Linked DNA regions of Cricetulus griseus. The protein of the gene in region 1 interacts with the protein of each later gene in a biochemical or structural test. Links are inferred from orthologs where the notes say so. Each region holds a gene or a part of one and is shown in the gene's direction. Other genes may lie near its edges.

Region 1 (4,268 bases):
TTTACCACATTCTCATTTTTAAGTTCTGTGCCTTCATGGAAAACTGCGTTTAGTGTGTGTGTCTGCAGCATATAGTCCTTGATTGGATCCTTGCACATACCAGGCGATGTGGTGTGTTACCCACAGTTTGAATTGTGTTCTGTGACTGTCTGCAATCCTGTATCTGCCGTGGGTTTTTTGTTTGTTTGTTTGTTTTTTGTTTTTGTACAACTGCAAATCAGACGGTTGCGGGGCCACTTGTGAGTGAGATGGCAGGGGTTCAGGTCTTTCTGCAAGCTAAGGAAGAACAGGAAAAGTTATTTGTCTCTGAGCCTCTTTCTTCTTGTGCAAAATGTAGGCAAGCATGAAAACCCCTCGGGTTGTCCTGAGGGATGGAAACCGTGTAGGTAGGTTACCTGACCTGTATGTACAAAGAAAGCTAACTGCATACTGACAGCACTAATAGGTTTTATTTAAAAATCCCCTGCTCGTTTCATTTTTCAGACTTCTTACCCTGTTGTTTTATTCCTGTCGTTTAAGTTGGAGATGTCGACATTGCACTTTAGGTCTCGAATAAGCTCTCAAAAATCGTGATTGCTCAAGGACCTGTGTTTACAGAGTGAGCTTTCCAGTGGGTACCTGTGGAACACAGGCCGCGGTTTGTGGTCTTGGGAGAGGCCTGCTCAGGAGTGGTTTCCTCTGGGATGGAAGCGGGGGCCTCGGGTTCAGCCTTACTCTGCAGGCACCCGGCCACTCCGTGCAAGCGTAGTCTGGGGGAGCCGACCATTTCCCCCTAACCCTGGGGTGGGAGCTACGTGTGACCATCTGTCCCAGGTCGCCAGCGAGGCCTGAAGTTCTCCCCAGAGACAGTGGGCAACAGGTCTGCGGCCAGTGGGCGGAGCTCCGCCCGTGCCCTCCTGCCTCGTAGCCAATCAGCGGCTCCAAAGTGGGCCACCGCTTGGCAGAGTGGTGACGTCATCGTATCCGGGAGGTTTCTGAGGCCTTGGCCAATGAGGCGCGGGTGCAGCAGCAGTCTCTGTACTGGGGTTGCCCAATGACCGCAGAGCCCATGGGGGCCCGGCCGTCGGCATCAGCCAATGGGAGGCAGGCAGGAGCACGAGGCGGAGTTGCGAGTCCTGTGGCCAATGGGCTGTAGGGGGCGGAGTCCGGGCCTTGTCAAGCACGGCCAACCAGCGGGAGGAGCGGGCTTCTGGGGCGGGGTCGCGGTCACTTCCCCAATAGCGGCGGTCCGGGGGCGGGCTGTGCCGCGGGCGACCCAATGAGGGACACCGCTGCCGCGGGCCTGTCAAGGGACGGGGCCGGGGGCGGGCGGCGGCGAGTCGGGATAAACACTCGGCGGCCGCTGCTGGGATCCGGGCTCCGTGCCGTCCCAGCGCTGCCCCTTCTGGCTGGCCAGCGCGGCGGCTCCTCGGTGTTCCCGGCCCGCTACCCGCGGGCAAGGAGAGGCGGCCCGCCGGGTGCAGGATGGCGGCAGCCGTCAGGATGAACATCCAGCTGCTGCTGGAGGCGGCCGACTACCTGGAGCGGCGGGAGAGAGGTGCACGGCGGGCTGCGGGCCGGGCGGGCGGCCGCTGGGGTGGTTGGGGCGCGGGCCGGCCGCGAGCGCCAACCCCCGGGCCCGCGCCCCAAAAGCCGAGCGCGGGGGGCGGCGAGCAGCTGGAACCTTCCACACCTGCTCCGAACCGAGGGCGTCCACGCCAGGAAAGAGCAGGCATTGTTCTCAGAATTCCGCCTGCCTGCACCCGGCCGGTGCCCCGGACTCCGACAGACGGACGGACGCGGGGACAGGGTGTCAGATGCTCTGAGCCCATTCATTAACGGGACCCCTCGGTTTTCTAGAAGCTGAACATGGATATGCCTCCATGTTGCCGTACAGTAGTAAGGGCAGAGATGTCTTCAAACGGAGGAACAAGCCCAAGAAAAACAGCACCAGTAGCAGGTAACTGTTCCATGTACCCCTTCTCTGTAGCTAACACTAAGACTGCTGGTTAGTTGACTCTGGGATTCTAGTCCTACAGATACGTTGAGGGTCCGATAATGCACACTTGGTGCTAAAAGCCTTTTCTTTTTAAGTTGAGGAAACTGAAGAGAAAATGTTTTACATTTCATTATGGCCTTTTTAAAAATTAATTCTACTTTTCACTCTCTGAACAAAGCAAAACTCCATGCTCCATGGGAATAGCAGCAGGGTCACTACTTTTGCCTTCTTTACAAGTAACAGAGTTTGCACGTTTCCTTTCATTCAAAATGCACCATGTTATCAGTTGATTTTGCTGGTCATAGTGTAGATTTTATAAACGAGCTGTCTGGCCTGACACAGGTGGTAGAAATTTATATTTAACGTGTAAATTAAATACAGTAGTTTGTCTGATAACCCAGTTGTAACCTCTGTTTCTGATGGCTGAGCAGAGTGATTGAGCTTCTTCGAGAAGGTGCAAGTAACATTAGGATGTCAGCCTTTTCCTGTTAGCCTCACAGATTACCTTCTAGTCCTCAAAAGCTGTGGATTTCACGGCAGTGTTTAGCTAATGACTGGGAACTCACAGCCCCTGATCCACAATGACCTCTCACCTCTGTTACTGTATCTATATCCTCTTCCTTGCCCTTAAAATACTAGTTGGAGCTGGACATGATGGTGCACATCCTTGATCCCAGCACTCAGCAGGCAGAGGCAGGTGGATCTCTGTGAATTGGAAGCCAGCCTTATCTACACTGGGAATTCCAGACCAGCTACATGTGAGACTACATGGCTACACAGTGAGACTCTGTCTCAAAAAAACAAAGACAAAACCCAACTAGTTGGTAGGAGTTCGTGTTACTAGGGCCATTCAATTTAGGCCATGCCTGAAATCATTGACATTTTCGTCAGCAATTTAGAATCCTAATCCCTCCCCTTCATGAATAACTTCCCACAAGCACATAGAGTATCATATAGGGTAACCTCTGTGGCTTAGTACAGACCACTAAACCCTGGGAAGTTCTCACTCACACCTAAAACTCACCCACCTTGTCCTTGGTTCACCCTGTCCATAGACCTTAGTGTTGGAATCACAGACTGGGCCACGCTCCTGACTAAGGCACAGGAGGGGTGGACCTGACCTGGTAATTACCTGGTGGGTTTTCCTTGTCCTCTCATCTAGCATAGCCTGGCGGTGGTAGTCAGTAGCGCTGCACATGAGCACTGCAGCCTTTGAGGAGAATGCTCACACTGACATGAGTCGAACAGTGGCATCAGAAAGGGCTCTGCTGCATTTTGTAACAGTTTCACATAGGACTTCAAAGGCTTGCTGTGTTGCTTGTTGTTGTTGTTTCTGTGCTAGTGTATTCCACGTTTGCCTTTATTAATACCACTCCTAAATTAGGAGGAATTGTCCATCTTGCTAGTCTTAGACTTTAATGCCTTAACACTATTTTTCCTGCTTTATAGGAAGATTGCTGGGGGTATTGAGGAGTGGGTAGTAGAAAGGCATTGTGTAGTGACTTGGTCCCAGAAGGATGATTTTAAAAGTATAGTGAGAACTTGAAATGCTAAGTCAAACACTAGAGTCCTTCTCTTGCCATTAGCCTCCTGGAAAGTGGCCACAGTTCCCGAGGTTTGGAAAAGCTGAAAACCGTTGTGTTAAGAGGCTTGCTTTCTGTCCTTAGAGATAGACTTGTTGTAGCTGTCTATGTGCTTCACTAACAGTGACGGGGTGTCATGCAGTCAGTGTGGAAAGGCTCCCTCAGAGTCCAGGATTAAAGTCTGAGCAGGTAGTTTTATGTAGGCATGGTCTCTTCCATGGCTGTTGGCACATCTCTCACCTGGGGAGTGAGAGCACCATCAGAGAGTAGCTGGTCACCAGAATCAACCTTCTGCCCAGGGCCATATGACCATAAATCTGAAATGCGAGTGCCAGGGAGATACTGCTAATTCACAGAACTCTTTGCCAATAACATTCATGTTCAGGTTGAAATATTATGCTCTTTGTTTGTGGAGTCTGAGGAAATTTGGACAATAAAAAAATGAAAAAACAACCATTATTTCAAACCTCCTGGGAACTGAAAAATGCAATTTGTTTTAAAACTGCTTTTATCAAAAAATTAATAATAATAATAATAATAATAATAATAATAATAATAACAACATTCATAGTGATTGCTAGTTGCTTTGGAATCATCCAGAGAACCAGTGGATTAGAACGACAGGATCTTTCTTTCCTACTGGTTTTTAAAATCACTTAGTTATTATTTAGAATTGAAATTAAGAGCTTTGTTTTTCTTGTTTTTGT
Region 2 (3,601 bases), on another chromosome or scaffold:
CCAAATCCTAGACAAAGCAACAGAGTATATCCAGTATATGCGAAGGAAAAACCACACGCACCAGCAAGACATTGATGACCTCAAGCGGCAGAATGCTCTTCTGGAGCAACAAGGTGAGCAGCCAAGCTCGTGGGGCAACTGGCCCTGCTGTGCCCGGCCAGGCTGGGCCTTTCCCACCTGAGCCTTCGGTCAGAGCCAGAGGACCATGCCTCAGAAGCATCCTCAGCCCTGCTCCACGGGCCTTCGAAGTTGAGTGTTAGCGCCATCCTGAGGAAGGACCAGACCCTCCAGTGAGGAGATGGAGGAGCTAGGGAGTTGAACATCCAAAGGCTTGTATCTTTTCTGGCCTGATCTCTCCCTTCCTTGGGGCTCAGGTGCTCTGCCTGCAGTAAGGGTCACACCTGGTGTCAGGTATCTGAACAGAGCTTTGAGGTCCTTGGAGTAGAATGTGCCATGTAAGTACAAGAGTCTCCAGGAGTTCAGGGACAGTGAGCCCTCCCCATTGTCAATAGTAGTCCAATCAGGGCAGCCTATGGGCCAGGCCCCTGCTGTTCTCCAATGCTCACACCCGCCTTTTCCTACAACCACAGGGGAAAGCGAGAGCTGATCAAGTTCTTTGTTCCTGGGGAATTCACTTCTCTTCCTCCCTCATGGAAGATGCAAGTAAAAGGAAATGCAAGTAACCACCTGGGTTAGAACATCTCACATAAAATAAATAACATGAAGGGTTGATCCTCCAGGCTCAAGCTGAGCTGAACCAAGGGATGGGCAGTGGGTGGTGGCAGCGGGTTGGATGATGGGCCAAGCAGCCTGCATGTAGGGGTGTCTGTTGAAAAGCCCAGGTATTTTGTGTGTATTGGTGACTTGCTTCCAAGTGTCCAGCTTGTCATTCCAAGTGGATTTTGTTCATAAAAGCCAAGCCAAAAGTTTTCTTTGACCCAATATATTTTGTCATCCTTTCCTGCTATCATTGGGCCTTCACACGTTCATGGAGCCTGGCATTGCTAGGCTAGCTTCTCTTCTGTCGTTGTATTGCTCCATCCAACAGGGAACTCTTGCTCTGGTCTCTCTGCTGGGTCCATGGCAGGACGGTGTCTCATCACAAGCCTTCTCTTCAGGGTGGTATAGCAGAGTGGCTGGCCATGTGTGCTGGGCCCGTAAGCCCAGCTGGGAAGGAAAAGGGGGAACAGCCACCAGAAGGGAATGATTTCTGAGCCACCCTGTGCCTTGGGGGCCAGCAAGCAAACCCTTAGGAAGAACAGGCTGGACCCTGAATCTGAAACTTGTTTTCTCCGGATCTCCAGAAGGTGGTAACATGCTCCCTTGGTTGCCTTTTAGTCCGTGCACTGGAGAAGGCAAGGTCAAGTGCCCAACTGCAGACCAACTACCCCTCCTCAGACAACAGCCTCTACACCAACGCCAAGGGCGGCACCATCTCTGCCTTCGATGGGGGTTCAGACTCCAGCTCAGAGTCCGAGCCTGAAGAGCCCCAGAGCAGGAAGAAACTCCGGATGGAGGCCAGCTAAGCCATGTGGGGCAGGCCAGCAATAAAAACTGTCGTCTCCATCGTCTCATCCTCTTCAGTTCCTCGTTAGAACCCTTGAAACCATTGAAAGACTCTTTATTTTCCTTTTCTCTTTATTAATTGTTATTTTTGCATAGAAGCTCTTGGACAACAGCTCTCATCCGGTCCCTGTGTCCACTATTTTTAAATGTATTCCCTTCAGGGGTTCCTGTCCCCACCAGAAATTTTAAACCAAAACACCCTAACTTGGCAGCTCTTTCTGTGGAGGACAGACAGCCGGCCAGACCTCTGTGTACGTGGTGTTCCCCCCCACCCCCAGCTCCTCCAGCCCTCAGAGCGTGTGCCTGGAGGGTGCCTGCTGCACCGGGCCCCTCCCAGTCCCCTCACCTCTGTTTGGTGGACTTTGTGACTCTCTGAACTGCTCTACTTTGACAAGATGACCAGATTGGAGTAATCAGAATTAACCCCCTCCTCTGTAAGGATTGTTTTTTGCAAAAGCTATCGATCCTGTTGAAAGACCAGATTCTTGAAGAAGTTTGTGGTATAAAAGGAAAGCGGGGACAGAACTGCAGAATCCTTGGCATGTTTCACTCTTCAGTTGTTTAAGCCTGCAGAGCCAGCCTTACAGAAGGCCACGTGACACTGGTATGTATAGGAGATGGCAGCAGTGAAATGGCCTCCCAGGAGTGGTGGGGTGGCTGTTTGTGGGTGGGACAGGGAGGGAGTCTTAGGTGGGGTAGAGGTTTTGTATTAAGGGCCAGTGATGATGTTTTGATATTTATTTCCTGCTACTGAAATTCAAATCTGAATGAAATGCCCCTATTTCTGATGATGTCGATATTGTAAAGCGACAGATTCATAAAGCAATGATCAAATCTTCATTTCTTTCTGTGTGTATTTCTAAGAAATAGAGCCAACTTTTGTATGTAAATACCAAGAGCGACTTACCTGGTACTAAACCCACAGCCCAGCACAGCCTCCCTGCCCTACTTGCCTCCCTCTGGTCCTGGAACTTGTCGCCACTGTGCGATCCAGCCCTGGCTCTGGCTGTGGTCAGCAGATCCCAGTGAAGGGTTTCATGTCTTTAGGCTTCATTTCTTTGTCTTTTTCCTACTCTGTTGCCGGCATTTTGCTGATTTCTAGTGTATACTCTGTAGTCTCAGTCGGTATTTGATTCCATTCCATGGAAATAAAAAGTATGTTGTACATACTGCCCAAGAATTGTCTTGCAAGTTAAGGCTTCCCCCTTTACTATAAGAATATAAATAAAGACTTATTTTATCCTTTTTGGTAGTGGTGTCTTCTTGCCCCTGCAATGGCCAAGGTAGTTGAGGGAGGAGCCTTCTGGAAGCTACTGGGCCTCTGGAAACTTGAAAGAAAAGCAGAGATCTCTCACTGGAGCCTGCAGAGCCAGGAGCGGCTGTAACTATACCTGTTTCTCCCTTGTGTGTCAGCCTGAAAGTGGCTAAGTGGATGGTAGGAAGCAACTTTCAGGCTTGCAATGGGTAATCAGTTGGTGGCAACAGTTCCCGATAAACAATGCTCTTTGGAGGAATTGATGGCTCAGAACTGTGGCTCTTACTCTCCTGGTAAGGAGTGTCCCGTGTGAGAGGTGGCTGGTATTGGCCAGGGTTTTTCAGTTTCTAGAGAATTCCAGTGACAAAGAGGAAACAGCAGAGCTGCCAAAGGCTGAAAGTCAAAAAGATACCACAACATCAAGTTAACTACTGTGGACCCAGCTCCAGCCTGAACTTCTTTGACCTTTGAAAGAAAGAAAAGAATTTCTGGCCAGAAAGCATCTCCATTTGGTTTTCCAGTCTGGCTGACAGGAAGTACTGCTTTCATAGACCAAGGGACGAAGTGAAGCGAGGTAAGTTCTTTGAATTCGAATGAAGAGAGTGCTGGGGTTTCCCTCCCTCAGATGTCAATCTGCAGTGTCTGGTTAATGGAAGTCGGTGGGTAGGTCATGTGTGTACAGGAAGCAGCATCAACCCTCCAAAGTGTGGTGCACAAAAGAATACCCAGCTGTGGGGAAGCAGAACACTGATGGCTTCCTCTCCTGGCATAGGGGCAAGA

What was found.
Region 2: the proteins of Mxd1 (region 1) and Max form a complex in vitro, tested with the Homo sapiens proteins (4 studies listed by BioGRID, with this or other methods). The link is inferred for Cricetulus griseus from reciprocal best matches to the Homo sapiens genes MXD1 and MAX.

What each region holds. Positions count from the first base shown.
Region 1 is NC_048601.1:58,414,186-58,418,453, reverse strand, and holds the start of Mxd1 (max dimerization protein 1), read left to right. Parts: upstream 1-1,270; 5' UTR 1,271-1,464; coding exon 1,465-1,537; intron 1,538-1,839; coding exon 1,840-1,939; intron 1,940-4,268. UniProt on the Homo sapiens protein: Component of a transcriptional repressor complex together with MAX. In complex with MAX binds to the core DNA sequence 5'-CAC[GA]TG-3'. Antagonizes MYC transcriptional activity by competing with MYC for MAX binding.
Region 2 is NC_048598.1:126,586,772-126,590,372, forward strand, and holds the end of Max (protein max), read left to right. Parts: coding exon 1-113; intron 114-590; exon of another isoform or gene 591-691; intron 692-1,338; coding exon 1,339-1,526; 3' UTR 1,527-2,812; downstream 2,813-3,601. UniProt on the Homo sapiens protein: Transcription regulator. Forms a sequence-specific DNA-binding protein complex with MYC or MAD which recognizes the core sequence 5'-CAC[GA]TG-3'. The MYC:MAX complex is a transcriptional activator, whereas the MAD:MAX complex is a repressor.